Linked DNA regions of Cricetulus griseus. The protein of the gene in region 2 purifies or fractionates together with the protein of the main gene of each other region. This does not show direct contact. Links are inferred from orthologs where the notes say so. Each region holds a gene or a part of one and is shown on either strand. Other genes may lie near its edges. The genes, in order: Eif3a and Eif4b.

Region 1 (15,977 bases), on a different chromosome or scaffold from region 2:
ATATCCAAAAATGCAAAATAACAGAGCTTTTTAAATATTTTGGGGGGGTGGTTTTGAGATAGGGTTTCTCGGTATAGTTATAGCTGTCCTCTCTACTGACTGTCTACCTGCTCTGTAGACCAGGCTGGCCTTGAACTCAGGGATCCACCTGCTTCTGCCTCCCAACTGCTGGGATTAAAGGAGTGTGCCACCATAGCCTGACAACAAATTTTTCTTATATGAAGTACCACAAAAATTACCAGGACAGTTCTATTCTCAGGACCAAACTGAGAATAGTTTGGTCCCTTAACAGAACAGTATTATGTCCATTTAACAGCTCTGGTCCCCTGTATCATCAGGTTCCACATACACACTCATATTTAGATAATATTCAAAAAATATTACATATGTCTGAAATGCTTTCTTCTTATCAACTAAACAACATGGCAAATGTTTTTCAGAGATTATTTCAATCTAACTGGGGGTTATGCATAGATTATGTGCAAATACAACCACTACCCTACTTCAGCTTACCAGTGGGTTTTGATGTCCACTGGGATCTGAAACAATGTTCTGAACCAGGTGTAACTGAAAACCATACCTAAGGCCGGGTAGTGGTGGTGCACGCCTTTAGTCCCAGCACTCGGTACTCGGGAGGCAGAGGCAGGCAGAAGACCAGCCTGGTCTACAAGAGCTAGTTCTAGTACAGCCTCCAAAGCCACAGAGAAACCCTGTCTCAGAGAGAGAGAGAGAGAGAGAGAGAGAGAGAGAGAGAGAGAAAGCAAGCCATACCTAACTCATCACATACCCTGAACCACTCACTGCTTTAATGAGTCTCCTCAAATGAACAAGATATCCATTTCATCAGTGGTTCCTTGTCCACACATCAGAAGCCTGACAATGAATCTGAATTTCCAGTATGTAATCATCAATTAAAACTTACCACAAAGTTTTCTCCTCAAAAAAATGCTCAGATTTATACTAACCATATCATTAATAAGGCCGATTCGTGTGGGTGGGGCTTGAAGACCTAGCAGTGTTGCAAGGCGTCGCTGCTTCTCAACTATAATACCATCCATGTCTAAGAGCCGAGCAATGTCTGTTCGCTCAGGAGTAATAGGTATGGAAAGAGTCGCCAAAAGGACTCTAGTGGACATTCTGTGGTGAACAAAGTTTTATTTTTTAAGATTAGAAATGTGCTTCTTTTGATTATCTATTGTATGCCATTGACAGAATATACGTAGCATACTAATTATTCCAGCACAACACAGTATTAGATCACTGAACCTTGAGGAAGTGAATCCTTGTAAACTCAATCTCATATCAACACACTAAATGTGGCCCAACAGCAGTGAAGACAAATGTCCTTACCAAAATAATTAAAGGTAGCTCTGGAAACTAAGAAAATGGACTTTAAGTAAACACAATTATGACAGAGAAAAGGATAAATTTTTTTTTTTTTTTACTTTCCTGAAACACAAGAAAGTCTACAATTTAGAATGCTAAGTAGCAAAGGTACCCAGGAGTCTTAATAACATATACAGGACAAAAAGACCTGACACTAACCAATATTACAAGTATTAACTAACTCCCTTAAGGAAACCCATTTGGTTGATTTCCTATTCTTCCACAAAAGTAAGAAAAATAGATACATATATTTTAAAAAGAAGTCAGTTTAGGGCTGGAGAGATGGCTCAGAGGTTAAGAGCACTGGCTGCTCTTCCAGAAGTCCTGAGTTCAAATCCCAGCAACCACATGGTGGCTCACAGACATCTGTAATGAGATCTGGTGTCCTCTTCTGGCATGCATGCATATAGACAGAACACTGTATACATAATAAATAAATAAATCTTTAAAAGAAAAAAAGCCAGTTTACTAACAAGGAAAGGTGACCTGTGAACTGCCTATCTTGTGCGAGGCAATGGATTCAATTTCTAGCTTGACAAAAAATAAAAAAGAAAGCAAGTGAAAAGAAACACGCTATATATATGTAATAGGGTCTTGTGTGGATTCTTCTTGTGGGAAGCGATCTTACTAGGTAGTTTAAGCTAGCCTAATGTTGAACGTTTGGTCCTTCTACCTCAGCCCATGTGCTAAGAGGTATGTGCCACCACATTCAACCTATACTTTGATTTTAATAGTCTGCAAGGTGCACACAAATAGTCCCCATTTTATGATTCACATGTTAAGAAACATGAAGGTTTTACCCATATTTTTTACCGTAATACAAAAGAATTAATCTTGTCCCAAGCTAGTGACATAAAGTGTGTAGTATTCTTGGAAAAGCATGCAGCAGCAATAAATGATACACAGCTCCTAGTCAGCCATGCAATCCTAAGAGTAAACAGACCTCCTTCCTCTCCTAGCACATACTACCCACACTGTTGATAGTAAGTAGGTCAGTGTAATACCTCCTTACTTAACACATTTTCAACTTATAGTAGGTTTACCAGGATATAAACTAACACAAGGCAAGTGCTTTATACTAGTTACTGTTTTATAATCAAGGGGGGGAAAAGGAGCTTGATGTAATTACCTAATTATCCAACTGCTCTAAGAAAAGAATATACCAATATATGGATAGGTTCACATGTTAGTATTATCTCTGTGAACACACATGTTCTCAATTGGGTTTCCGGTGGCAGTTTTTCTCGGGGCAGAAGTAGAAGATGGCTCAAGAATACTCTCCAAGGAGAGCAATGTCTCAGAGACACTTGGTAGTCACAATCAGAGTTTGCTCCTGACCCCTCAGGAGTAGAGTCTAGGAATACTACTAAACAGCCTACCAAGCACTAGCAACACACAACAGTATTAGCCAATCCAAAACGTCCAGAAGCTAAGATACCATGCTTAGACCACACTACCACTTACGTTTAATCTCATTACCATGCAACTATAACATTCTTACCTTTGCATCTCATCTTGTGTAAGATTCTTTCTCATTTCCCTAGACAGATGATAAAGACGATGAAGTGTAGATGCATGAAACAGAGCATTTCCAGATTTCCAAAACACTGTTGAGACTTTGTTATAGTAATTTGCCATCAGCTGAGGCTTAGGTGGTTTTTTAGACAAGGAAAACAGCCCATGAATATCTTCCACAGCTTTGAAGGCTTCCTAAAATGTACAAGTTAATCACTTCATTAAAAAAGATCAAATACAAATCACTTTTATGAAATTAAAACATATAAATAAAAATAGAAAATAAAATGCCTAATATGGATTCTATTTCTGTCTGGTAAATCTGAGAAACTGTTATAAATACAAAACGCTATCTTTGAAATATCGTTTTGGTTTTTTTTTTTGTTTTTTTTTTCAAGACAGGGCTTCTCTGTGCAACCTTGGCTGTCCTAGAATATTTTCCTTAATACATCAAGTTTGCTTGTCCTCTCCAAGTAGTAATTTAAGATTGGTGTCCCTATAAAAAAGGAAAAGTACTTTGGGCAAGAACAGAAAACTCAATCACATTTTTTTTTTTTTGAGACAAGGTTTCTCTGTGACTTTGGAGGCTATACTGGAACTAGCTCTTGTAGACCAGGCTGGTCTCGCACTCAGAGATCCACATGCCTCTGCCTACCAAGTGCTGGGAGGCAGGAGAATCACATCTTTACTTTTAACTTTTAGTTTAACTTTTAGTTAAATCACATTTTAACTAAAAACTGATTTGTTTAGTTTAATCCCTTGTAATTTCAATTGGCTCTTTTATGTTAAATAAATAAAAACACCTTCATGTATGTTAAAGTCACAAAATGATGTGACTATATCCTAAGAAGGGGAGAAAGGGCCAGGAAGCTTTTCATCATTACTGCCATCACTAAAATGCAGCATACACCATGCATGGTACTAAACCAGCACTTCTCCAAATACAGAAAAAGTAAGTGTGTTTTTTAACTTCTAATCATCAATAAATGCTCATAAAGTACAATAAAGCTACAATGTATTATCAGATTAACACAAAATTATGAGGAAACTGCTATCAACAGTCTTTGTAGAAACTAGATGTAATCAGTGGTATTGCACATGCTTACCATTTGAAAGGCTATGGTTTAACCACCAGCACCAGGGGGCTAGAGAGTTAGCCCATTAAAGTACTGGCTACCAAGTAATGACAAGGCCCTGGGTTTGGGATCAGCACATACAGACAGGTCCTAATTCCTGGCACCAAAACCAAACAAAATGAGGCAAGGAAACAACACCAGCAACAACAAAAACATCTCCATCTTTAAATATTTTTTCTCCATACTTCTCTCATCACACTACCCAACTCAGAATGGTACCAATCATAGAACCACATTGTGAGCAGGATTTGGGGGGCTGTTTTTTTTACTTGTTTTGTTTTTGCATAGAAGGAAAAGACTACATGATTAAGTCCAGATTTAGCAAGTGATTAAATTCCTACTGTCATCAGACAACCTTAAATTCTCACAGTACCTACTGAAATTAACCAGTAATACCAATACAAGGTGGTACAAAGCAAATAGTTAACTTGCCTGCCATAGTTCCATGCTGATAGCACTGTCCAACTGAACAAGTCTGGTCTCCAAATGCATGGACTGGCTCTCTGGATTATTAAGATTAATTGCTGTGCTTTGGTTATGGTGGCGCTGAATCTGAGATAAATGCATTCGCAAGTTGTCACAGAGCTTGCGGAACTCAGCCTTTCGAGTATACTGGAGGCAGAATTTGAAAGCTGTAAGCATAATTGTCAAACAAGAATTAGATATTTTCTGTCACTTGAATATCTAAGTTAGGTTTTTATATGCCACATATTAAGACCAATTTTAACAAGATTCACTAAGCTCACAATTACTCTATGTAATGAGAGTCAGTCTTAATTCCCTCCATGAACCTGCCAACACTCTGAATCCTGAGCAAAATAAAAAGACACGGTCATAAGTCCTGGCCCAATACATGGTTCTGGAAATTTACAAATACGAAACAAATAGAACTTAAATTTAGGAAAAGAGTCGGGAGCTGGAAAGATATGGCCAACATCTGGCTATACAAGGACTCAAGTTAGATTCCCTATACCCACATGGCAGCTCAGGGCCAGCTGTAACTCCAGTTCTAGGGAATCCAGGGCCCTCTTCTGGCTTCTGTAAGCACCAGGCATGCACATGGTATATAGACATAAATAAAGTCAAAGTATCCATACACAAAAAAAAATTTTCAAAATAAATTAAGTCTAGGAGTTACATTCAAAGACCTAAAAGAACAGTTTTAATTGCTAGGATGAAATACAATGAGCTTACATATCTAATGTACAAATAATGCAACATGCTTTTGTACTAATGAAAACTGTGATATAAGGATTTACCTAATTTCAAATACAGAAACAGAAGAATGGGTAATTACTGGCTGCATCATTAAAATTCACATCTATGCAGTATCAGAGTACTTTTTGGAACATCTTTGCTCTTATAAACAAACTGTATTTCACTGAGTGGTGGTGGCACACGCCTCTGATCCCAGCATCTGGGAGGCAGAGGCAGGTGTATCTCTGAGTTCGAGGACAGCCTTGTCTACTGAGCAAGTTCCAGGACAATCAGGTTATACAGAGAAACCCTGTCTCAAAATAAACAAACAAACCTTTCTATTTCAAAAGACCAAAAACAAGCAATATGATTTAACCCCAACTCAGTTTTTTACCAAATATTACAAGTTTGCTTGTGAGACATGATATAGACGTATGTTACATATGCAAATAAACACTGGTACTAATATTCCTACTAAAACAGTCATAGCAGAAAGTTAACAACACATAAAGAAATTCTGAGCTAGGTGTGGGGGATGGGTGCCTGTAATCTAGTCCTTCAGAGTATGTGATGAAAGGCAACCAAGTATGAAGTGATTCATGACATCAATACTAAGCAATACTGCTTAGGAATAGAAATATGGTGGGCACAGTGGTGTATGCCTTTAATCCCAGAACTCAGGAAGCAAGAGAGCAAGCAGACCTGAGTTCAAGGCCACCTTCAGAATGAATTCCAGGACAGCCAGGACTACAGAGAAATTGTCCCAAGGGTATAAGGTTATCCAAGTAGAAAAGAGGGTAAAGGAGGGTGATGGGGGGGAAGTGTCAACAAAGAGAAGTCAGGGAATTGGCAGGAGAGTGATGATCAAGAATGAACTATAATAACATGAAAATATACCATATGAAGCCTATCAATGTGTGCTTAACTTTAAAAAAGCAGGAGGGGGCTTCAAAAGTCAGTAGAACAATTCCATATGAAAATGTATTAACCCGTAAGATAAATCTATTTTTCAGCTATTTATGTAAAAAAGGTCAATTTCATTTCACTAAGGATAAAACTAGTTATTTTTAAAAACTACAGAGAACAGAAGGTTTATCTACAAATATCTAAAGTCATCTTTTCAAATCAGTGTATTAACATTTTATATTGTCATTTTACCTTGCTGGGCGATATCATGGTAAAGGCGCTCTACTCTAGAATTGTTTCGAAGAAGGTCCAAACACTGCCTGTATGATTCCCATAGGAACTTGACCCAGGGAGTCAGTAGCAATCTGTCAGTACGATCCTGAGTGTCTTCCCCACTTACTGCACTTAGGAGAACACTACAAAGAAAAATGCATTGAAAACAATTCAGGTATTTTTATTGTGATCTGAAAGCCCAAACCAACAATGACAAATTCTTCCCACAACCTCATATATACTGTCAAGCTATCCCTTACCATCTGTATCTGAATTTTCAGTCTGTATTACAACAGTTTAAATTTTAGTGCATGGCAAGGTGGTGGTGGCAGACTCCCTGGCACTCAGGAGGCAGAGGCAGGCAGATCTCTTTGAGTTGAGACCAGCCTGGTCTGCCAGAGCTGGTTCTAGGACACCTCCAAAGTCACAGAGAAACCCTGTCTCCAAAACACTCCTCCACCCCCCCAAAAAAACTTTTAATGCATGTTCTACCCTAAGTGTAAATTTTAAATATTGCTGACATGGTTGGTGAAGTATACAAAGATAAGCAGTTTGCTTCTGATAATCAATCATCTACCTTCCAAGTATGTGTGTGTGGGGGGGTGATGATGGCTCATATAAGGAAAAACACTGCTGTGTGGTGGTGGTATACACCTTTAATCCCAGCACTTGAGAGGCAGAGATAAGAGGACGAGTGACGCCAGCCTGGTCTACAGAGTGCATTCTAGTACAATCAGGACTACACAGAGAAACCCTGTCTCGGAAAAAAGCAAAAGGAAAAGAAAAAACAGTGTAAATAACCAAAATATTTACTAAGGGATTAAATTCACATACCTCTCAGGCGTCTGAATATTATCTAGATCTTCTATATCTAACACCATTTGTTGGGATTCTTCTTTAGCAGCTTCAGTTTTTTCCTCTGCTAATTTCAAGTATGCCCTAACAACATCTTCTAAAGATTTAATGTTTACCTACAGGAAGGAAAAAGAATTTATTTTTCTCCAAAGAACTAAAATAATGTTTAAAAGCAAATCAAGATATAAAATTTAATTTGAAAGGTAAATTCCTCTAAAAGTTACTAAGCACTTTAAAAATATAAAAATGAGCACAGTACCTGCTGACAAATGTTCTTATATTGATATAAACCTTCCTTAGCCAAGTGGCTCTTACGAAGATCCACACACAGTTCCAAGTATTTCAACATAATCGGCTCATGTATCTTTTGCCATGTTCTGTGTTTCTTACTTTTCATAACATCATAAAGAACATCCAGGGCAGGTTGCTTTTTGCCAACCTCAAGAAATTCTGGGGGGGAAGGGGGGAGAGGAATTGAGAATTAAAGTTAGTTGTACATACTACATAAAAATCTAAATGATAGAACCAAGGAAGTGACACAATAGGTAAAGGCCCTTGCTGCAACCCTGATCCTCTTGAGTTTTATCTTTAGACCCCTATGTTAGCAGAGAACCCACTCTTGAAAACTGTTCTGACCTCCACATGCACAAAGAATGTGCAGGTTCCCTTAACTTGCACAAATAAATAAACAACAGATAAAGTAAGATTTTAAAATCTAAATCTTGCCTCCTTAGTAATTTAATTTAAGCACGTTTGGCTTCTAGCAGGAATCCCACAATCATCCAACATATGACAAAAAAAATCAGTATTATCTCAAGATATAATGTCCATGTAGAACTCAGTGATTTTAAAATTCCAGAAACTGAAGTCTTGGATTGGGGAATATCTCCCCCAGTAACTGAAAGTCTAAGTATGACTTTATCACATATATTTGATATGAAGAAGTAAAAAAAACAGCAGATTGCTTAAATATCTACTTTAAGACCAGTTGGCAACATTTTTTTTTTCATTTGGCACCATTTAATTGAGTTCATTCTTAAGGCAATCTAGTGAAGTCTTGGAATTGGACAGTAAGTGATGCAACTTTGTCCTTTGGTATCTCTGATCCAACATAGGTCTGAGCCTTTCCATACAAAATTTACAAATGATTACAAAATAGATTGCAAAGGTTTTGTTTGGGATTATATTGAATAGTTATAGATGTAAGTTTGAAGATTTGACAGTTCACCTACTCCTATCATGTAAATGGACTTACATAGCAAACCAAAAAAACAAGAAAGGGACTGAAAGAAGGGGTTCATGGGTCTGGAGAGGATGAAGAATGTCCAGTTCTTGCACAGAACCTAAGTCCTAGCACACACATAGGCAGCTCACAACAGCCTGTAACTTTCAGCTTTCTTCTGGCTCTTCCAGCATTTTACACACACACACCTTTTTCTTTTGAGAGATAGGGTCTTTCTATGTAGCCCAGCTCAAAAGTAAACTTAAAAAAAAAAAAGAAAAAGGAGCTGCTGTGCTTAGCAGCACATGCCATTAATCCCAGCACTCCACAAGACAGGTGCAGGTGGCTCTCTAAATTCCAGGACAGCCAGAGTTACATGGAGAAATCCTGTCTCAAAAAACATGAAAAAATAAATAAAACCAAAAGAAACTTCTCAACAATTAGCAAAAGAAACACCAATTAGGATTCAATGGTCTAAATTCAAGTGTCCTCCCAAACTTCAGATTGATACATACTAACTAATGGAATGCTTTATTAAGAATTGGTCTTTGGGCTAGAGAGATGGCTCAGAGGTTAAGAGCACTGACTGCTCTTCCAGAGATACTGAGTTCAATTCCCAGCAACCACATGGTGGCTCACAACCATCTACAATGAGATCTGGTGCCCTCTTCTGGTGTGCAGATATCCATGGAAGCAGAATGTTGTACACATAATAAATAAAATCTTAAAAAAAAAAAAAAAAAAAAGAATTGGTCTTTGCCTGGAGTTGGTGGCGCACGCCTTTAATCCCAGCACTTGGGAGGCAGAGGCAGGTGGATCTGAGTTCGAACCCAGCCTGGTCTACTGAGTGAGCCCCAGGATAAGCTCCAAAGCTACACAGAGAAACCCGGTCTTGAAAAACAAAAAACAAACAAACAAAAAAAAGTTGATCTTTAAAGAGGTGATTGGATCAAAGGGTTCCACCCTCTAAATGCAACAAGTAGCTTTCTAGATAGCTTCCTTTTTGTTCTATTTCATCAGGTAAGGACCACATTTATCTCCCCCTGGAACAGTAAAGGGCAAACAGCCAGCTCTCACCAGATACTGAACCTGCTAGTTTTATTTATTATGGACTTTTCAGACACCAGAAATGAGAGAAATAAATTCTTGGTATTGATTGGTGAAGTGGTATCTCATTACAATAGCGCCCACAGAATAAAATAAAGGACATTCTACAAGACACTGGAGTACTTCTCAAAAAGTCTAAGACACTGACAACTAAGACATGACAATTAAATGTAATGTAGTATGTGGATAGGATCCTAGGGCAAAAGGTAATTGGAAAAAAAAGTAAAAACTTTACTTAATAATCTCAATCGAGGCCCTGGCAATGGTGGTGGCACATGCCTTTAGTCCCAGTACTCGGGAGGCAGAGGATGGCGGATCTCTGGGGATGGCGGATCTCTGGGAGTTTGAGGCCAGCCTGGTCTACAGAGCTAGTGCCAGGACAATCAGGACTGTCCAACAGAGAAACCCTGTCTCAAAAAACAAAAAAGTCTATTTCTAGGCAGGGGTGCTGGTGCATGCTTTTGCTCCCAGCACCCAGAAGGCAGTGGCAGGAAGATCTATCTGTGAGCTGGCGTCTGGTCTGGTCTACTTAGTGAATTCCAATGCTACAAAGTAAGATCTTAGGTCTAAAACAAAACAAAACTAACTTCAGTTACTGGCTCCTTAGTTATGAGTGATAGATATACTTTACTGTTTTAGAATATTCATTCATGGAAATTGGGTATGGTGAAAATTCTGTATGACCTCTTTAAATGATTCAGTGAAACTAAAAACTTTAATGAATTTAAATTAAGGTTATTTTTTAAACTATAGACTACAGGGCAAAGTAATGTGACTTTATGAGCTTGAAGGCATTATGTGTAGTAACATACAAATCCAGTTGCTGTCTTAAATTTTATGTATATAGTACCTTTTCAAATTCAGTCAACAGAAGTGGGCTCTAGATTAAAAATGTATATTTTGTCCTTTTCCCCCTTCACACAAATAGTAGAAAATATTTAATGTAGTCAACTGGTTAAGTTCATTTTTAATTTAGTAATTAAGCCAGGAGTGATGGTTTATGCCTATAATCCTAGCACTTTGGGAGGCTGCTGCAAAAACCAAAAAGATAAATGCTGAATTCCAAACACAAAAAGTTTCCACTTGAATGTTTAAAACATAATCTGAAGCATGGTGGTGGTGGCACATGCCTTTAGTCCAGCATTTGGGAGGCAGAAGCAGAGGCAGGTACATCTCTGTGAGCTCGAGACCAGTCTGATCTACAAAAGCTAGTTCCAGGACAGCCTCCAAAGACAGAGAAACTGTCTCAGAAACAGAGAAAAAAACACACATAATTTGAAGGAGCTAAAACACTGGCTTTACGACATCTCCATTTTAAAACAAAGTGTTTATTTTCCTACTAAAGAATAGTCTTGGGGCCAGGGGCAGTGGCCCATACCTTTAATACCAAGCTGAGGCAGGTGGACTTCTGAGTTTGACCAGGACAGCTTGGGCTACACAGTAAAACCCTGTCTCTACCACTCCTTAAAGAAACAAAAATAACCTTGAGCAAACAATTCTTTTTTCTGAATTAATCTGAATTTGGGGATGTTCTGCCTTAAAGCAAGACTGTTAGAAGCCCTGGGGTAGGGTTGATCTTCAGTACCTTTTTTTTTTTTTTAATGGTTAGCATTGAGGCTGGTGGGGTAGGTGGTCAATGGTCAATGCTTTAAAACAAACACTTGTTGCTTCTGATCCCAGGATCCACATGCTGGCTCAAAACCATCTGTAACTCCATCCCAGGGGATCTGATATCCTCTCTGCTGAACTCCATGGACACCAGACACACAGGTACACACACATACAAGTAAAATACTCATGCACTCAGAAGGCCAAAAAAAAGCTCCTTAGTTGGGAGCTTACCAGATCTACAAGTTTAATGACTAAGGTTTCAGGAATGGTGCTTCCCAGTCTTCTAGTGAAACAATACTGCTCTGGCTCTCAAACATACTAAGTTCATACCTGAACAAACCACACAATATATCAAAAACTAAGCATCTTTATAAAATATTCTAAGTCCTCATACCAGCAATTTTTCCCTCTGGCTGGAGCCCAAACCTAGGGCCTCACCTCTGGTATGCCAGGCAAAAAACACAACCCTAGCTCCACCCCTTATAGTATCAAATGGTACTCACTTGCAAACAAATACAAACTCAACATTATGTGGGAAAAGACCATCTTCATTTCAGTCACAGAGCCACCCCAAAATCTTACCATATGAAACAAGCACTTACAGCCAGATATGATATTGGAACCAAAAAGTCTTGTTTTAAGTACTATCCTCTTCCTGAAATGTGCCTAAGGTTGCTTTCCATGTTACTTTAGGTGTTTTTCAAATCAATTTAACCAAAATTCATATCAGCAAAAAAACTTATTAGTAAATGAATTTAGCCATAACAGCAGGGCTGGAGAGACGGCTCAGCAGTTTAGAGCACTGGCTACTCTTCAAGGACCTGGGTTCTATTTCCAGCACCTACATGGAAGCTCACATCATCTTTAACTCCAGTTCCAGGTGATTCAATATTCTTCCCGACACCCTCTGCTGACTTCAAGTAGGGCACTACTTGCACACAGTGAGTGCATAGTCATGCATGCAGGCAAAACACCCATACATATAAAATAAAATGAAATAAAAATTGTAACATTAAAGCAACATTAAAATAACATATTATGCCCATATACCCAACCCCCAACTTAAAGATTTAAATTTTCAAGCTCTTATTTAATGTTTGCAATACGAAATACAAATCAAGTTGAGAACTGAACCCTGATAAAATAAAATATAAAACACTGGAAATATAATAATCCACTTTCCCTCCGGGCGTTGGTGGTGCACGCCTTTAATCCCAGCACTCGGGAGGCAGAGGCAGGTGGATCTCTGTGAGTTCGAGACCAGCCTGGCCTATAAGAGATAGTTCCAGGACAGCCTCCAAAGCCACAGAGAAACCCTGTCTCAAAAACCAAAAAAATAAAAAATAAATAAATAATCCACTTTCCCAATATGTATTTCTTATGGGACTGTGGTTTCTTTACTTTTTAAAAAATACTAGTTGTTTTATTATTTTATGTGTATGAGTGTTTTACTTTCATGTGCCCCACATGCATGCTTTTGTATGTCAGAAGAGAACAGATCCCTGTCAACTGTAGTTACTGTTGGTTGTCAGAGTGGCTTCTTAATGTCATCCTTAGAAGCTTCCTGAGATATAACCAAATCTCTATCATTAGCACTGAAGGAGATTGAAGCAGAAGGATCAAGTATGAGGACAACCTGTGCTACCTAATGAGACTGGCACTCAAAAACCCTACAAAAATAAACTCATCCTTTCTAAGTCTGAAAGTCTCAAACTATAAAGGAAGCACACTTACATATAAAACATTTTACGGGATGTGATGGAGCATGCCTTTAAATTAACCCCAGCATTCAGGTGGATTCTTATGCAGCCAGGTTTCTGTAAGAGACCCTGTCTCAAAACACATAATTATGGATGGACATCCTTACCACCCCTCAACCCCGAAATAAGAAAAATGGGGGGTGGGGAATAAATGTTTTTAAACAAAAGGCTGAAATTGGAACAAACTCTCCACGATGATTGATGATTGAGTCATCCTAACTCACAAGCATGGAGACTTAGCTCCTTGCAATTGCCTAGTTAATGGGGTGGGAAGGCTTTTGAGGTTAGAAATTATTTCAACTCTTAAATGATTCCAAGATTAAGATTCTAGAAACTGAAATCCAGAATTATTCCAAAGTATAGAATCTTTAGGACATGACTGAACATGTGTGCCAACAAAGAAAAGGCTCACATTAATCCTTCATTTTTCACTAATCTATACAACAGATTAAGTATCTAAGATATAATGTTACTACTCAGTTGTGGGATTTCAATACAACTATCTCTTAAGGCGGGAGTTGTAGGGTGTGAGTATAAAGAGAAAGGCTGTGCCACTTTTCCCTCAAAATTACTGCTTAGGGTGACTTTCAGGGCTATTTTATTTAACTTTATTTTATTAAAATAATTCAGGAGATTAGGTCTAAATATCCCTAGAGTTACAGATGCTACAGATAAAACATTTAAGTAAACAGATTTCTAGGCTGTTAAAAGCCCTTTTATCGTTCATGTAATATTCTATACACAGGGCTACGAGACAATCTGCTCATGTCAAGTCCCTAGAAAGCTAAGGCATCAATCACTACCTGCTACTTCAGATAATGTAATGCGGCTGCAGCAAGTCAATACAGGACTTTGGAAAAACACACCGACAGGATCCATGCTACCGACACAGTACTTTGCTGATACTTTCCCCAACTTGCTCATCATTAATCAAGTCTACTTCTACTGAGAAACAGTGAAAAGCAATTTAGAACACATTATGTAACCTTCCTGCTTTAAAATTTATTGAACTATTAAGTTCACATGAAGATTCCAAACAGCAAAAAAAAAAAAAACAAAACAAGGTCAGCATGTTACTATGTATGTAGGCCAGAGACTGCAGTGCTTTAAGTAGACAGCTACAGGGGGGAAAATGCCGGCTGGTCAATGTTATAAATTAAACATACACATAACAGTTATTACCCAATAAGTCCCCCAATTCCATTTTCTACAGCACAATGCAATTTTAAGTAAAACATCCAAAGTTCTAACTTAGCTACAGTTCTGATTTCAGTAAATTAGTGTTGGTAGTATTAGGTTAGTTATCAGCAACTTGCAGTTTTAGTAAGCTCTACTACAAATTCAGAGTGCATAATTACTTTATTGCAGACTGCTCCCTAACGACAAAAAAAACCACATTTCAGAAGTATGTAACCAACACATCTTTATTCCTGACATTATCAGAAATGTTCCTTTATTAAGTACTAGCTCAAATGGCCTTTTCACAGAGACCTCCAGTCCTAGCAAACTTGCCAAACATAAACCCTCTACATACATGGTTTATCTGTTTGGATTGGGAGACACAATTGTTAGGATTTTTTAAAGGCAGTTTTTAAAGATCAGAAATGTGCACACGACTTTTCCACCACACACTGGCAAACTAAAGAGATCCGGACAAGTCTTTCCTGAAAGCGCCAGGGCTTAAGCACACATATGGAAATAGAAATACTCGGTGGCGCTGCGGTAAAAGAAAGGAAAAAAAAAAAAAAAAAGCCGTGATCTGGCTATCAAGAGACCTTGGTTTTAGTTTCCCGACACTTAAAAGTGTGACCTTGGGGAAACAACTTTTCTGGAGGCTTACCTGGCAAGAACCATTTTTAAATCCCTAAAGAATATTAACTTTTCGTGATTCAGAACAGGTTTTCGAACTGACCCTAATCAATCTGGGGGGGGGGGGTTGCCGACCCACAGGACACAAGTTACTGGATCAGAGGCCTGAGGTGCAAGCTGGCGACCAGCTTAGGGAAGCGGACCCTGACCCGGGAGGCCTCCGCGTGGGGCCTGGGGCCAGACGTGCCCGAGAGGTGGGGTGGAAGTCACCTAGCCGGGTCCTCGGCCCCGGCGGGAGGTGGAGCTGAGCTTCTCGCGTGCATTGTCCCCGGGAGGGAGCCATGTTTCCTCCTCCCGACACTCCCAGATGGCGGTAGGGAGCGCGGGGCTTCCCCGGCAGCCCGCGGGTCCTCGGAGCCGGCGGAGGCCGATCGGGGGAAGGATCGCAGGGCGGGAGGGACCTAACTCCCGGGCCGCAGCCCCGCGACGCAAGCACCAGGCGGCGGGCGGGCGGCGGGGAGGACGGGCCGGGGCGACGGTTCGACGGCGCTTCCGCGGGAGCCCGCTGGAGCGAGCGGGCGGCCGTGCCGACACCCGGCCGGGTGGCGGCGGCCGTCATCGCCGGCCTCGGCAGCCCGGGCTGCGGGCAGCAGGCCGGGGCCCTCGACCTCCCCGCCTCGGGCCGGCCCTGTGCGGCGCGACTGCGGCCGTACTCACCGTTGGCGCGCTTGAGGGCATTTTCCGGCCTCTGGAAATAGGCCGGCATCTTGGCAGGAGGCTCGGCTCACCCGGCGTCAGCGAACTCCCTAGTGGCCCGGAGCGGGAGAGAAGGCAGGCGGAGGGGGACTAGCGCGAGCTTCCTTCCACGCGCCTCGCCAGCAGTCGCCCGCGCCCAGCCGGCCAGAGACGGAAAGGAAGGAGCCACGTGACTCCCTTGCGGCGGCACCGCCGCCGCCCGAGCCCCGGATGTAGGGGCGGGGCTCTGCGCATGCGCCGGATTCCTCCGCGCGCAGACGCACTGGCGTCTCGAGCCGGGGTTGACGTGGCTGCGGCTGGCGGGTGGCGGGAACTGCTGTGTGCGTCTTCGGGGCGCGGGCGGGGGCCCTGGAGACAGTTTCCTCCGCACAGCCGGGCTCAGCGAGCGCGCGGTGGCAGAGGGGGACGAGGAAAGACTGTCCGCACAATCATTCCCAAACCGAG
Region 2 (14,905 bases):
GCTGTTAGGAGGGATCAGCTTCATCTGTGCCTGCATTGTGCCTCAGTGTCCCAGATAGGGAACATGAGAAGAAAACGCTTGCATACTCTCTGCCAGGCCAGGGCCGAAACACTGCGGCCAGCTACCGCGGGCATCTTGTGCTCAAAAAGTGTGTTTGTCGTTTGAGCTGGGGATGCACGCAGGGAGCAGCCGACCCTCCAGTAGTGCGCAGTAGGACGCGGAAGGCGGGGCGGCCTGAGCTAGGACCACAGCCGTGCCCCGCCCCCTGGTCACCTCTAGGATCTCAAACTGCCCCCTAGCTCACCGCGACCGACCGGGAGGGCGCTGGCGGCAGGCAGTCCCAGCCTCCGGGATCCCGCCGCGCTCGGTGTTCCGGGACCCCGGTGGCTCCGCGCCCCCTGGCGCCCGCCCCTGGCTCGCACCTCGCGCTGTGACGCAGAGGGCCGCCGCCCGCGCTCCCGCTCGCTTGGCGTGGCGGGGCCACTCACCTGTGGGGGGCGCCCGGAGGGCTGGGGGCGCGGCGGACCGGGGCAGCAGCAGGGGGCGCCCCCGGGCCAGCCCATCCCGGCCAGGCCAGCCGCACCGCGACACGCGGAGACAGCGGCAGCTGCGGGACGGGCATTCAGCTGGCTCCCTCCCTCTGCGCCCCGCCACCTCCTCCCGCCCTCCGGCTCCCTCCTTCTTCCCCGGGCTCCAATCGCCACCTTCCACCCGCTCCCCGCCCGCGCCGCCTCCTTTTTCCCTCCTCTCCTCCCACTGTCCTTCCCGCGAACGGCTCGGCGCGCAGAGGCAGGCTCGAAGGCCGAGCTGGCAGCCTGAGCCGGGGAGGGACCGCACGTGGGAAGGCAGCCCCAGGGAGCCTCAGACCGAGAGGCTGCGGAGGGACACGGGCGGAGAGAAACGCGTGAGCCGCACAGACTCCTCAAAAGAAGGTGGACACAGATCCAGAAGGGTACACAGAACAGCTGCGAGGCCTTGGCATCTCGGCGGCCACTTTAGTGCGGGATCTATTCTGAACCATGCCTGACCTGGTGGGGGCGCCAGATGTACTGGTGTCCCGGGTCTTAGGACACCACTTCCTGGTGTTCTCCCCCACTGGAACTTTTCTGTGTCTCTTCTCCCAGAAGACTCACAGCTGAGGACCCACACAAGGTTCAAAGCTCCCACCCCTCAACGGCTTTAGTAATCGCCCCTGTGTTCCTGGGGCTTACCAATGCAAGTTCTTTTGGTGGTGTCATCGCATTCCTTTTTTTTTTTTACTTTTTGTTTTATTTATTATGTATTTTATTTATTATTTTTTGTCTGCATATATCCCTGCACACCAGAAGAGGGCACCAAGTCTCATAACGGATGGTTGTGAGCCACCATGTGGATGCTGGGAATTGGACTCAGGACCTCCGGAACAGCAGCCAGCGCTCTTAACCTCTGAGCCATCTCTCCAGCCCCTCATTCCTTTTTAAAAGTCTGATATTGGAAAAGAACGCCTGAAATTAAACTGATGGGCCATGGTGCTAGTTTGAGTTGTGACAGTGGGAAGGGACAGTGGAGGGTAGGGAATGTGTGGTCCTAGAGTCTTTGAACCTATGGGCGTCCCAGTTCCCAGCATTCTTTAACAGATCCTATTACCTTCCTTCCACACTGGAATTTCCTTAAGTTGGTGAGCCAGAGGATCTCCATGCTGAGAAGTGGGAAGTGCCTAGAGTTAACTGTCGAGTAGGTTCCCAAAGCAGTCCAGCAGGGCCTGCTCAAGCCCTCTGGGTCTGCCTGCTGGCCTGCCCCATCTCAGCAGGGTTCTGTGCTCATCATGTCTCTGGCAAAGGCTGGGTTTGGCGGTTTGGTTCTGATTCCTGGGGAATGGAGCACCTGATTCTAATCTGGCAGCTGGGAAGAGCTGAAAGCATGGATCTTGCTGTCCAGTGGGCACTTTACAGCAGCCGGACTCCTGGGGGACTAGAGGGAGAGCTGGAGAAGTGATGGGGAGGGAATGGTTGCACTGGCAATGGAGAGAGAGAAGCACAAGTTAGAAGACAGTGACAGGGATTGGAGGCTGATGGGAAAGGGCAAGGCTGAAGGTCCTGCTGTGGCAAGATTATATTGTGTAATTAATAAAGAATATGAAAATATATTATTTGATGTCAGCAGCCAGCTCTTTTAACATCCAGCCCTTTCCAGAATGCTCTGGGCTTTGGTTGGAACTCGCTTTGTAGACCAGGCTGGCCTCAAACTCGATCGCCTCTGCCTCCCTGCTGGGATCAAAGGCATGGACCACCTCAGCAGGTTGGCCATAGGTTACAATTTCTGAAATCACCAGAGTGAGCCACATTGATTGGATCTCAAAGGTGGGTGGGACTAGAACTTCACACCATGCCCAAAGGGCTACTAAGAGGAACCTGAAAGGTTCCTAAGAATTGGAAGGGGAAGAGAGGAGTCACAAGATGGGTAGCTGAATCCTCTCAGCTCAAGCTCACTACTTTCCAGGCACCAATTGAGGGAAGGAAATGTAAAGCAGGATGCTTGGTGGGGATAGGATCAAAGTGAGTGGCTTGGGGAGGCAGCCAGACATTGTGATTGCTACCACGCCACAAAGCTGTAGGGAGGAGAGGGGGAGAGCCAGGCCACTATGGATAAAGGTGTTCACCCACTTACCTCCCTTCATGGCAAATATTCTTACCTTGACTATACAGAAAGAGATCCATCTCAGTACTGAAGGAAGAACCCCCTTTTCCACAGTCTGAGACCTCATGCCCATGACTGATGCATTCAGTTTCTTAGGGTGTGTCTTGAGAGTATGGGGCTGTCCTGGCTGAAAGAACACTGAGTCAAGGAAATTTTGGTGGTTGGTCTGGGCTCTAGGAACCAGGAAGGAGTAGTATGGGGTAAGGGACAGAGCCAACTCCAGAGGCGGATCTCCCTGGAGGACAGAGCAAGCATTGTCCAACCAGGAGGTGGCTGCAGCTGGGCGGGGATAGCATTTTCTTCCAAACTTCTTTTTGTGGGGGCAGGAAAGCAAGTCCCCCTTCACTTGTAGCCTTGGGGGCTATAATGGTTGCTGAGAAACGAAGCTTATTTGTCAAATGTTGCTACCGAGAAGCAGATGTGATCAATCAGTTCCTGAGACTTGTGAGTTAGTGAAGCATTTGAGGTGATACTGTTCGCATGAACCCGGGCCTTCATATATATACTTGGATTCCAGAGCACAGTGCCCGGTTCTGATAGGAGAAAGCAAGTCTATGTGGCCTGTTGTGTCCCCAGCCTAGACTCAAGTCTGTCAAGTGAATATCCTGTTTGCATTCTGCTAGCTGACATGGGCAGACGGGAAGCTAGGTCTTCTAAAGACTGGTTGCTCCCAGTTGGTTGGCTACTAGGCCTAGACTAGCTTCTGGGGTGAAGCCTGGGAAACCTCTTTCTTGCCACACTGAAAAGCTCTCAGCACAGCCACTCACGGATCCCTTCCAAACTCTTGCCAGTTTTGGACTTGTTAGAAAATAGAAATGGGAGGTGGTGTCACACATCTCTAGTTCTAGTACTCAGGAGGCAGAGGCAGGAGGATGTACATGAGTTTGAGGCCAGCTTCATACTGTCCTGAGTTTCAGGACAGCCAAGGCTACACAGAGAAACTCTGTCTCAAAACACCAAACCAAACACAAAAAGGACAAAACAAAAACGAGGAAAGTAGCTGTCTCTAATGGCACACAGCCTGTGCTGCATCATTCTTGGATACAGTACCTCAAATGTGTTCCAATTCCTTGTGACTATCAGTTCTGTCTCTGCCCTAACCCTTTTCCCTGCTTTTCAGCAAAGACCACTTTTGTTTGGAAAGCTTAAAATCCAGGTATCTCATGAAGAACAGTGGTTTCAGTACTGCCGCTCCACAGCAGCTGTGCAGTCTGTGGATGGCACCACTTGACCTCACGGATAGCTGGGAGTGAATTTAAAGAGGCATGGGTTGCACCTGTCACATCCACATTCAGGTGTTAACCCTGATCAGAAATGCTGGAGGATGAAGTTGAATAAGGTCCCCAATCTTGGGCTTTGTGCACTGCTTTGTGCCATGCAGTAACTCATCCTCTGCTATGCAGACTGAGGGATTAGAGATTTGGAAGAGAGGTGGAACAATAAAAACACAGGGAGCATGCAAAAACCGCAGCATTAACTTCAACTTTAAAGACTGGGTTTATTTGGAGAAAAACAAAAAACCCTCAACCCAAAGGATGGGATTTTACATCTCAAGACATCTCCCAAGTAATGTCTACAGATTACAAATCATTTTCATAGAAGATAGTTTTGTACAAATTTTACATGTATTCAGGAGCGGGACATAAGTCAACCCCTGTTTTTATTTTAACAGAGGAGCAAAGTAGGAGAGCATGGGACAGAACAGCTTTCTTCTGGATGCAACTATCTGGAAGGGAAATAGACATGAAGAGGGCTATCTACCTTTTCATTGTCTACAACCAAAGGTTTAAAAAAAAACCCCATTCAATGGTGGGTCTCTCTAAAGGCCCGCTTCCTAGCTACTAGCCAATCAAGTCCACTGGATGAGCGACTTGCTATGCCCACTGCTGCAGCCCATGAAACCAACGCTCCTGCAGAGCAGGTCTAGGGTTTGCACATTAAGACCAGGTCTCACTTGCCTGCAGGTACCCCGATGTCCCACAACAGGGAAGCTTGCTGTCAAGGTGCAGATCAAAGCAGACAGGTCAAGCTACTGTACTCAAGAGAAGCCAGACCTTATTCAATAGTTCTCTACATCATCCTTTATTCTTGAAGGAAATCAAGAAACCACCCCCCCTAAGCAGAAAAGCACAGTCTAGGTCACATTACAAACCCAAGCACCAGCATAGGGTTCCCATGAAGGAAACAAATAGAAATCTTAAACACCCCAATCAAGGCTGAAGACCTTTAACTCAACTCTCTCCATTCACCACCCAAGCCCATCAATTGAAATACTCTGACCTCCAAAGGGGGTGAAGGCAGCAGGAGCAGGAATTAAAGATACCACAGAGCTGGATTGCTTGACAAAAGCAGTGATTCCACAAGGCCACAGCTTCTGGTGGCCAAGATAAAAAAGAAAAAGAAAAGAAAAGGAAAAAAAAAAAAAAAAAAAGGAAAAGGAAAAAAAGAAAAAAGAGAGAGAGAGAAAAAAAAAGGTCTGTGAGAGCAGGTGTGTGACTTAGAGAGACTGCTTTTGGAAGGCTGACAGTGTCATCAAGAACATGAGATGACCAGTGACAAAGTTTGGAAAGAATGTGGATATATTCGAACCTTTAGAAAGGACAGATTTTAGAAGACTGGAATTTCCCACGACCGCTAAGTGCTTCCTCATCCAGGAAATGATTGTTCTATTCATGTGTCTATTGGAGGTCACAGCATTTCCCTTACTACCTGGTATAAAATAACTGATCATTCCCTCAAAACTTTTCAAACCACGATTGAGTTTCCCATTCATTTTGGTCCCCAGAGGTACTACTTGTTAGTGGCCTGTAGACTCACTCCCAACTACCCCCTTGGGGGGTAAAAAATTAAAATTAAAAAACAAAACAAAACAAAAAAAAAAAACCCAAAACACAACTCCCCTAGGCTGGCCCCAGCTAAGTCTGAATTGAAGTAGAAGGGCTGGCAGCCTCCTGGAGACTAAAATAACTTGAGAGACTAGATCTACCTGGCCAACGGTGGGAAATGTACTCAGATGATGTTTGGGAATTTGTAGGTGCCACCACAGGACAACAATTAAAAGGTAGAACTCTCACTCTTCCTTGTACCTTTCTCTACTGCCTAACTGATGCAACCGAGTCTCACTGTCACTACATTTCTGCTGAATGGAGCCCCAGGCACTAGTCACAAAGGTAACCACTTCTATCATCAGAACACATCACAACTTCCCCATTCAAAAGTGATAGCCACATCTCTCTGGCTACAATGGTGATTCTCCAGTTACTTCAATACTTTAAAAGGCTGCAGCAGCATGCAAAACAATTTCATTTCATTAAAAAAAAAAAAAAAAAGTTAAGAAAGGTCTTCAGGAGATGGTGAGCTTTATTTTTTCTTGTCTGGATAGAGGTTTGATTTGCTCTTGAATCTTCCGGGGTGGAGACTAGAAGAAAGCACAGCATGTGGAGGTCTACTCAGCGTGGTCATCTCCCTCATTCTCATCTTCACCATCCACAGAGAGAGCAGCATACTTGCTTGCAGAACTGAACTTCTATAATAGATGAGAGGGACAAAGTAATAAAGTCTGAGATTTTCCTAGAAGCAGAAGTTAATGCTTTGGCATAGGGGACATGAATTCATCTAGGGGTAGCATGTTCCACCGAAGCAATCAGGGAGGGCCAGGGTCACAAGTCAGCTCACCAGCAATACACATCCTTTCCACTTTGCAAGTGTGTAAGAGCTCAGAAGGGTTGACTCATCAACAAAAAGCCCATCTTAGCTTTTCTCATTAACTTGAAAAAAACACCACTGCCTCATTTCCAACTTCTCCAGTCTCAAGAAAAAAGGAGTCTGCAAAACTGAGCTATGAGAAGTGGATGCAAGCACACAACACTTACAGAGGCTGGGTTCTCCTCAGATTTCTTTGGCTCAGGTGCAGATCTGGAGTCTTGATCTTTTTTGCCATCTTTCCTGTCCAACCCCTTCCAGTGGTCTTTGTTTGCTCCATCTCCAGGGCCACGACTTGGGAACCCAGTTTGGCCTTTTGGGACATTTACCCCATCTATTTTATTTTCATCTGTTTAAGCAGAAACACAAAAACCAAATTCAAGTCACATAAAGTAACCTATTTCCTTGTACTAGATTTTCTTTTAAGCCGAAGAAAACATGTACTAAGGGAAATTAACTCCATTCCAGGCCTTTCTTCCCAAGTTCCTATACCACCCAGGCATACCAAACAAGACATATTAAAAAGTCTCACTGTAGTAAATGTCACCCGGAAAAGCAATATAGAAATAAAGACCAGAAGCCAGGTGGTGGTAGTAGTGCAGGCCTTTAATCCCAGCACTGGTTAGACAGAGATAGGCAGATCTCTCAGTTTGATGCCAGCATGGTCTTTGGAGTAAGTTATAGGACAGCCAGGGCTACACAGATAAACTCTTATCTCAAAAAACAAAAACCCCAAACAAACAGCAAACCCCTCTTCCAGGAAAGAAAGAGAAAAAGGGACTAGATTGTTCTGTAGTGACCTTGGCTGGTTAATGGTGACATTTCTCACCTGGACAGACATAGTTATTCCTGTCCAATTTCCCCACCAAGGCAAGGTTTACCAGGAAAGCCAGCTTCTGACACTCTTTGAAGAGCCCATTCCTGCCCTCTATTGGCAAGGAAAGGTAGCTCATCAAAAGAACATCACAAAACAGGGCATAAAAGTTCAAATTTCTTGACTGAAGGTTGACAGGGGGAGGGAAGACATTTTGAATAGTGTGGCCACTGGTAAGGTGCCAGAACTTTTGTAATCCTCAATAAAGCCCACTAGGCAACTCCCCCACAAAAGTCATAAAAGTAGAATAGAGGCTAGCTGGGGAAGAGGGATTGGCAGGAAGGAGACAAGAGAAGCTAACAGGGCAGCAGTAATGATAGGATTAAAATACATCATATACATGCATGAACTTGTTGTCTTCATGAGACACAAATACTGCAGCTTTCAGCAAAAAAAAAATAATAATAATAATATTTTTTTCTTTTTTTCTTGCTCATGCCTTTAATCCCAGCACTTTGAGGCAGAAGCAGGTACATCTCTGAGAGTTTGAGACCAGCTTGGTCTACAGAATGAGTTCCAGTTCCAAGATTACATACCTTTATCTTGAAAATCAAAAACAAATTTATTTGGTCAAGGTGTTTAATTCAGGAATTTTTTTAAGAGTTGTTTTTATTTTATGAGTATTGCCTGCATATTTGTGCCCCACCTATGTCTGGTGCTTGTGGAGGGCAAAGAGGCATCAAATGCCTTAAAGAAACTGGAGATATGAATGGTTGTGAGCCACCATATATGCTGGTGCTGGGAACTGATTTTGTAGCTCTTGGATGTGTTTGTATCCAAGGCTTTACACAGATCAAAACCTACTTCCCTTGGCTCACCTTTTCTTGATGGTCCGTCCTCAGAGGGCTGAGCTGGAGCTACTTTCCCTCCACCACTAGAATGGAGCAAGCAATCAACCATCAGTTTTTACAAGAAAGACAACACAAGCTTATACCATTTCCAGAATGCAGTGGGTTGCCTTTATAGAAATACACAAGAGCCTGCATGTTGAACACTGCAATATTTAAGTATAGGAAAAGACAATGAAAGCAGTCACTTCCACACTCAACTGCCATATGCTTTGGAATTTATAACCCAGCAAGGCAATAGTAGTTTTCTCTTTGCAAAAACTGAGAAAAGTTAAGAGAATCTTAAGTCACTTAAATGATATGACCCTCCAAGGTTACACTAACAGTATATCTCAGGACAAAACCCAATAGACATGTCTACAATTTCTGTGGTATAAATGCGCCCATCATAGCTGATTTCAACCCATCAAAACGATGCCAACTGGCTAACAAAAATGAAAAAAACACACTGCTATGAGACACCTCAGTATGAATTATACATACTACAAAGGCCAAGACCCCTCAGGGCACCTTCCAGCTAAGCAGCTGCTGTTGCAGGCCTACTCACCTTGTAGGGGACTGCTGCTCTGTGTCTGAGCTCTGAGATCGAGCAGGAGGGTTAGAGCTTCGCTTCACCCACGCATTCTCCTTTGGCGGAGGGGCTGGCATTACCTTTAGAGGCTGATCAGGTTTAGAAGGTTTGGAGGTTGGAGAGTGACAGTCTTCTTCTTTATTGAGGGTTTCATTTTCTAGAGACTTCTCACTCTCTCTCCTTCGTGTATCTGGGGGATGGGGGGAGACTCACTGTATATACACTGTATAGCATTTACCTGAACTGCAACAGCATAGAAAATGACGTACCACCACATTAATTCCATCAGTACAGACTGATTTGGCTAATAGTTATAATTACACAAAAACCAACCATGTTCTCTGGGAAGAAAAGGGAAAAATCTACCTATGTAAGAGACAACTGCCTTCACACAGGAACAAAGATCAAAAACACTTGTATTTGCACAAAAAGTTTTCTGGAACTGTGGAGCCTGATTTTACAGAGGTGCCTCCTACATTTGAAGTACAAACACTACCAAAGTGGCCACACAGAGCAATACCACACTTATCCCAGCCACAAGGACCACTACGTTATGTTACTGGACCACTCCAATGTAAAACATTCCCAGAAAACTCTTAAAACACTTGGCTCAATTTACAAAGCACCTTGGCGGTAGAAGAGCTTAGGCAACAGTGGGTCACAGTATAGGGAAATGGGTGCTGTGATGAAATACTAGCTATGCTTGTGAGTGAACAATCTCAGGAAGAATGATGTTCTATCCCTCAAGGACACTGCTTTGAGGCTACCTAAATAACACCATCAAACAATGTCACCCCCAAGAAGAGCTTGTGAATGCCAATGCTATGGTGGCTCTAAAAACAAACAGACTAACAAACAAAAACCCAACATACACTGTCGAGATAGAAAATAGGGGCTGGCAAGATGGCTCAGCAGGTGTGGCAACTTCTCACCAAGACCTGCTAATAACTGAATTCAGCCAATGCCCAGGACCACGCAGGGTGAAGAGACAGACTTCTGCAGGTTTTCCTCTGGCTTCAAGGCATGGCATGAATATCCACCTCTCCACAAAATACATGTTAAAAAACAAGATAGTCTAACAGTCAAGTATTCTCTTTAGAGACAGATAATTAACAGAACATTGAAGTCTATTCTGGTACCTGTTCTCAGGCTTTTGGAGGAGAGATGTGAAAACCTATCAACCCTTGCTGAAGGCCCTGGTCTACTCGACAAATGTCAGGATACCCAAGACGATGTAGAGACTTTGTCTGAAGACTGAATCTACAAACACTGCAAAGTCCCTGCATACTCTGGTTATGGAAACAGCAATACTGATACCCACCCTGGTCTGACTTACTTCTGCCAGATGTGGCTGAGGTCCCAGTCTGAGATGACTCACTTCCTGTCCTCGACCGTTCTCTTTCCTGAGTTTCTTCACTTCGCCAACTTGGGTGTCTGCACACAGGAGATTAAAAACGACAGAAAAATGGTGTTCAGTTCACTAAAGGCCATCATGAACCTCACACAAACTGTTTATTACAAAAATTAACAGCTACAAGATGGACGCTGTTGGTGCACCCTTTGAATCCCAGCATTTGGGAGGCAGAGGCAAGCGGATTTCTGAGTTTGAGACCACCCTGGTCTACAGGGCGGAGTTCCAGGACAGGTTACAAAGCTACAGAATAACCCTGTCTTGAAAAACAAACCAACCCGAGGCTGGAGAGATGGCACAGAGGTTAAGAGCACTGACTGTTCTTCCAGAGGTCCTGAGTTCAATTCCTGGCAACCACATGGTGGCTCACAATCACCTTGAATGAGATCTGGTACCCTCTGCTGGCATGCAGGCAGAAGATTGTATACATAATAAATAAATAAAATCTTAAAAAAGAAAAACCAACCAAAAAAAATTTGATAAACCCATTTTACAAAAAACAGGCAGGATTTATTTACTTCTGTATCAAAGTGCCACCAATTTCTATTTATGGCAAGTGTGGCAAAACTTTTGAAAACTCCAAGGAATGAAGTCTTTAGTGTGTGACACTGTCCCAAACTCTGGAGACCGCTTCACCCTGCTCAAAACACTTCTCAGTGAGTGATACCAGCCATCACTCCCATCCCCAAAATGCCTCCACTCAGCAGCAGGGATGAAACCACTATCAAGACACCTTACCTCTCACGTGGCCGGCGGTCTAGTTTTGGCTCATCCAGCTGCCTTTGCAATTTCTCTTGCTCCTTCTGTAGCCGCTCTTCTACTTCTCTTTCTCTAGCAGCTGTGTCAACAGGCTTTGCCCCTCCAAAGATAGAAGCCGCTCGACTGGACTGGGAGGTGCTAGCAGAGGAATCATCTTCCTTAGGAGTACTCCGAGGCTTTAGATTCAGTTTGGGTCTTTGGGGGGGACCTAAGTTAAATGAAACTCTAAGTAACAGTTTCCAAATAATCAGGTGAATGCCAAAAGCCAGACTCCAGACACAGCTCTCATGATCTTGTTCAAGGATCTGGTCTGGAAAATGAGCATCTTCAACAGGTTCAAAAGACTTTGTAGAGCCAGGCAGTGGTGGTGCACGCCTTTAGTCCCAGCACTGGGGAGACAGAGGCAGGCGGACCTCTATGAGTTTGAGACCAGCCTGGTCTACAAGAGCTAATTCCAGGACAGCCTCCAAAGCCACAGAGAAACCCTGTCTTGAATACCCCAAAAGAAAAAAGACCTTGTAGCAATGACAGGGAGGGAGGGAGGGGAGGGAGGGAAGGAGGGATGAGGGAGAGAGAGAGAGAGAGAGAGAGAGAGAGAGAGAGAGAGAGAGAGAGAGAGAGAGAATTGTGAGAATGAGAAGGAGAGAACACGAATGTGAAGGCCAGAGAGTGCCAAAGGATCTCCTTGTACACTCAATCACCCCATTATAGATACAGGTGAACATACCCAACTCACCATTTTTTAAATGACATGTGCTGGAAATGTGAACTCAGACTAATTACCCATATAGCAGGCACTTTACAGACAAGGGACTATCTTCTTATATTTTTGTATGAAATTCTAAGTAGGCCAATTTCTTATTAATCTTTCTACATTATCAGAGTACTTTCACAATAAACCTAAAATTGGTTTCAGCCTTAGTGCAGAAAACTGATATGAAAGGTACTGTGACTAGAGAGGAAGCCTGTGTGTATACCACTGGGTTTAAGTGATGAAAGAATACACGCCATGCCCACCTGCACTGCCTTCTCACAATAAAATGCTAAGTTTGGTCTTCTGTATTACGTGGGTGCATGTATTGAAACAGTGTATTATTTGGCTTTTGTGTGTGCATCCCTCACACGCACAGATGTCAACCTTAGGACACTCATTTCTTAAGCACTGCCCACCTTTTCTGAACAGGGTCTGAGTGACCCAGAGCTTGCTTGATTAAGGTAGGATGGCTATCCAGTGAGTTCTAGGAATTAGCCTGTCTCTTTTTCAAGCTATGCATATTTATTTATTTATTTATTTATTTATTTATTTATTTATTTATTTAATTTGGTTTTTCAAGACAGGGTTTCTCTGTGTAGCTTTGGAGCCTATCCTGGCACTTGCTCTGGAGACCAGGCTGGCCCCGAACTCACAGAGATCCACCTGCCTCTGCCTCCCGAGTGCTGGGATTAAAGGCGTGTGCCACCAACGCCCGGCATGTAAATTCTGTTTTAAAGTTATGTATTTTATATGTAGTGTTTTGCCTTCATGTATATGAAGCACACGTGTCTGGTGCCTTCTGAGGTCACAAGTGAACAACAGATCCCCTGGAACTGGAGTTTTGGTGGTTGTAAGCCACCATGTGGGTGTTGAGAACTGAATCTAGCTCCTCTACAAGAACACCAAGTGTTCTTAATGTTCACCAGCTCTTCCAGCCCCTTGACAAGTTTCTTACATGGTGTTGGCACAGAACTCAGTTCCTACTGCTTGCATAGCAACACAGTCTCATGAACCATCTCCAGACCTTCTATGAGAGACATAAGACAACAGTTTCTACAACTGCCCAAACTTGTCAAGGAGCAATTATCTTTACATTCAAGATAAAAGTGGCTCAGAAAATATGTAGCCAATATTTGGCACACTAGACAATGGAATGAATATGATTACCAACTTCTACCTCTCCTCCCTTTTCATTTAAAATTTCCATGTATCAACAAACTCATCACCTGTTTAGATACTATGTAAAAAGCTACAAGGATAGGTGATGGTCTCTATGTACAAGAAGCCAAATTTGATAGGACCATCAGATTTAAAAATACTACATGTTAAGTCTAACAAAATTAAGTTCATATTAAAGACATGACAGGTACAGAGGAAGCTCAGCAGGTAATGATGTTTACTCCTAAGCTGACAACTCAAGTTTGATTTCCTGGACACTTTTGGAAGAGACTGGATTCCCACAAATTCTCCTCAACTTCCATGCATGCAAGCATACACAAAAGAGTGAGCGAGTGAGATCTAAACAGATAAGAACCAGCCATGGCCTGCCGCTGACTCCCAAGTGCTGGGATTAAATGTATGCATTACCAGTCCTATCAATTTTTTAGGTCAGACAACCTAGCCTTCAGATGGCATCACCACATTTAAGAACATAAGTGGTTATTTTTAATAACATTTGTCAGAGCGAGTGTGAAAGTGCTTTTTTTCAAGCAATCAGGTGCATAATTTTTAGAATAAGCACACAAAAATCTCACTTAAAATTAGCAACATTTGTCCGGGTGTTGGTGGCGCACGCCTTTAATCCCAGCACTCGGGAGGCAGAGGCAGGCGGATCTCTGTGAGTTCGAGGCCAGCCTGGTCTACAAGAGCTAGTTCCAGGACAGGCTCCAAAGCCATAGAGAAACCCTGCTTGAAAAACCAAAAAAGAGCGCAACAACATTATTACACTAAAATTACTGACTGGAACTTTTATTTTCTTGTTTCCTTTTCAACTGTTATATATACATTTTTTGAGATAGGGTTTCTCTGTGTAGCCCTGGATGCCCTAAAACTTGCGTTGTAGACCAGGCTGGCCTTGAGCTCAGAGATCCGCCTGCCTCTACCTTCCCAGTGCTGGCTTTTTTTTTTTTTTAATTTTAACTGAAGAAAAGATTGTCTCATTTTCATTATGTCACCCATATCCAATTGTCTACTGTGCTCTGCTACTTCATTTAAAATATATAAACTGTGTTTTCTAAGCCAGGAGGTAGGCAAATACACTTTACAACTTAACTTTCCGACATTGTGCTCCACGATAAAGAATGAGAAAATGAGTACCTCTGTCATCACGCCTATAATCATCCCGAGAGTAATCATCCCTGGAACTCCAGGACCGATCGTCCCTTCTGTCATATCGGTCTTCATAGCGGTCCCCACCTCCTCTGTAGTCATCATCCCTTCGGTACCCACTACCAAATGCTCTTCTGCCACTGCCTATCCTGGAGTCATAGCCTGTAACAGATCTCAAATGTGGTCACACAGAAAGGAAAAGAAGCCAAAAAGAAATTCTTGAAAAGAAGCACTCTCACAGGGTATGTTACTGTGACTACCTCGGTCATAGTCTCTGCTGCCTCGGTCATCATAGCGATCCCGGCCCCCATAGCGATCCATATCTCTTCGTGGGCCATCCCGATATCCATCCCGATATCCATCCCGATACCGGTCTGAATCATAACGATCTCGATACTCTAGAAATAAAAGCGTATAGGTAACACCACTCTCCCCCATAGTTCATCATCTATTCACTGATTCAGTTTTTATAGAGCAAAGCACATCTTCAAATCAGAACCATTTGTACTAAATTAAAAATCTCAGTAGTTAATTATTTCTTAAACAAACACAAAGCCAAAAACCCCAATGGGTGCTAGGAATGGCGCTCACGGCAGAATGCTTCCCCTAGGAACACCACTTGAGAAAAAACCCACATGCACAAAATGACAGCTCCAGGATGTTCCCCTAATGAAATTTTGCTGGCTAAAGTGTTTTTTTTTTTTTCCTTTCTCTCTTGGGTGGGGTGATAGTAAAATATATATTCCTTAACAAATTCTAGAATATGTTAAAAACATGTAAGCATAAAACAGAATAACTGAAAATTTCTATGTTTGATACAAAACAACCAAAGATTGCTTCAAAAAGCTTAGTGTGAGGACCAGCCAGATGGCTCAACAAATCAGGGCTCATGACTCTCAAAAGTTGACCTCTGACCTCTCCAACTTATGCTGAGGCATACATGTGCTTGGCTACCCTGACAATAAATGCTTAAAAAACAAAG

What was found.
Region 1: the proteins of Eif4b (region 2) and Eif3a purify together in Homo sapiens (co-immunoprecipitation; 3 studies listed by BioGRID and IntAct, with this or other methods). This does not show direct contact. The link is inferred for Cricetulus griseus from reciprocal best matches to the Homo sapiens genes EIF4B and EIF3A.

What each region holds. Positions count from the first base shown.
Region 1 is NC_048596.1:528,695-544,671, reverse strand, and holds the start of Eif3a (eukaryotic translation initiation factor 3 subunit A), read right to left. Parts: upstream 15,690-15,977; 5' UTR 15,544-15,689; coding exon 15,495-15,543; intron 7,719-15,494; coding exon 7,528-7,718; intron 7,385-7,527; coding exon 7,248-7,384; intron 6,557-7,247; coding exon 6,393-6,556; intron 4,670-6,392; coding exon 4,470-4,669; intron 3,097-4,469; coding exon 2,888-3,096; intron 1,138-2,887; coding exon 966-1,137; intron 1-965. UniProt on the Homo sapiens protein: RNA-binding component of the eukaryotic translation initiation factor 3 (eIF-3) complex, which is required for several steps in the initiation of protein synthesis.
Region 2 is NC_048595.1:398,487,277-398,502,181, reverse strand, and holds the end of Eif4b (eukaryotic translation initiation factor 4B), read right to left. Parts: intron 14,322-14,905; coding exon 14,184-14,321; intron 14,086-14,183; coding exon 13,912-14,085; intron 11,050-13,911; coding exon 10,821-11,049; intron 10,106-10,820; coding exon 9,993-10,105; intron 8,862-9,992; coding exon 8,648-8,861; coding exon of another isoform or gene 8,644-8,647; intron 8,127-8,643; coding exon 8,071-8,126; intron 6,728-8,070; coding exon 6,549-6,727; intron 6,203-6,548; coding exon 6,122-6,202; 3' UTR 4,155-6,121; downstream 1-4,154. Other genes in the region: Tns2 (tensin-2), read right to left, coding at 489-563. UniProt on the Homo sapiens protein: Required for the binding of mRNA to ribosomes. Functions in close association with EIF4-F and EIF4-A. Binds near the 5'-terminal cap of mRNA in presence of EIF-4F and ATP.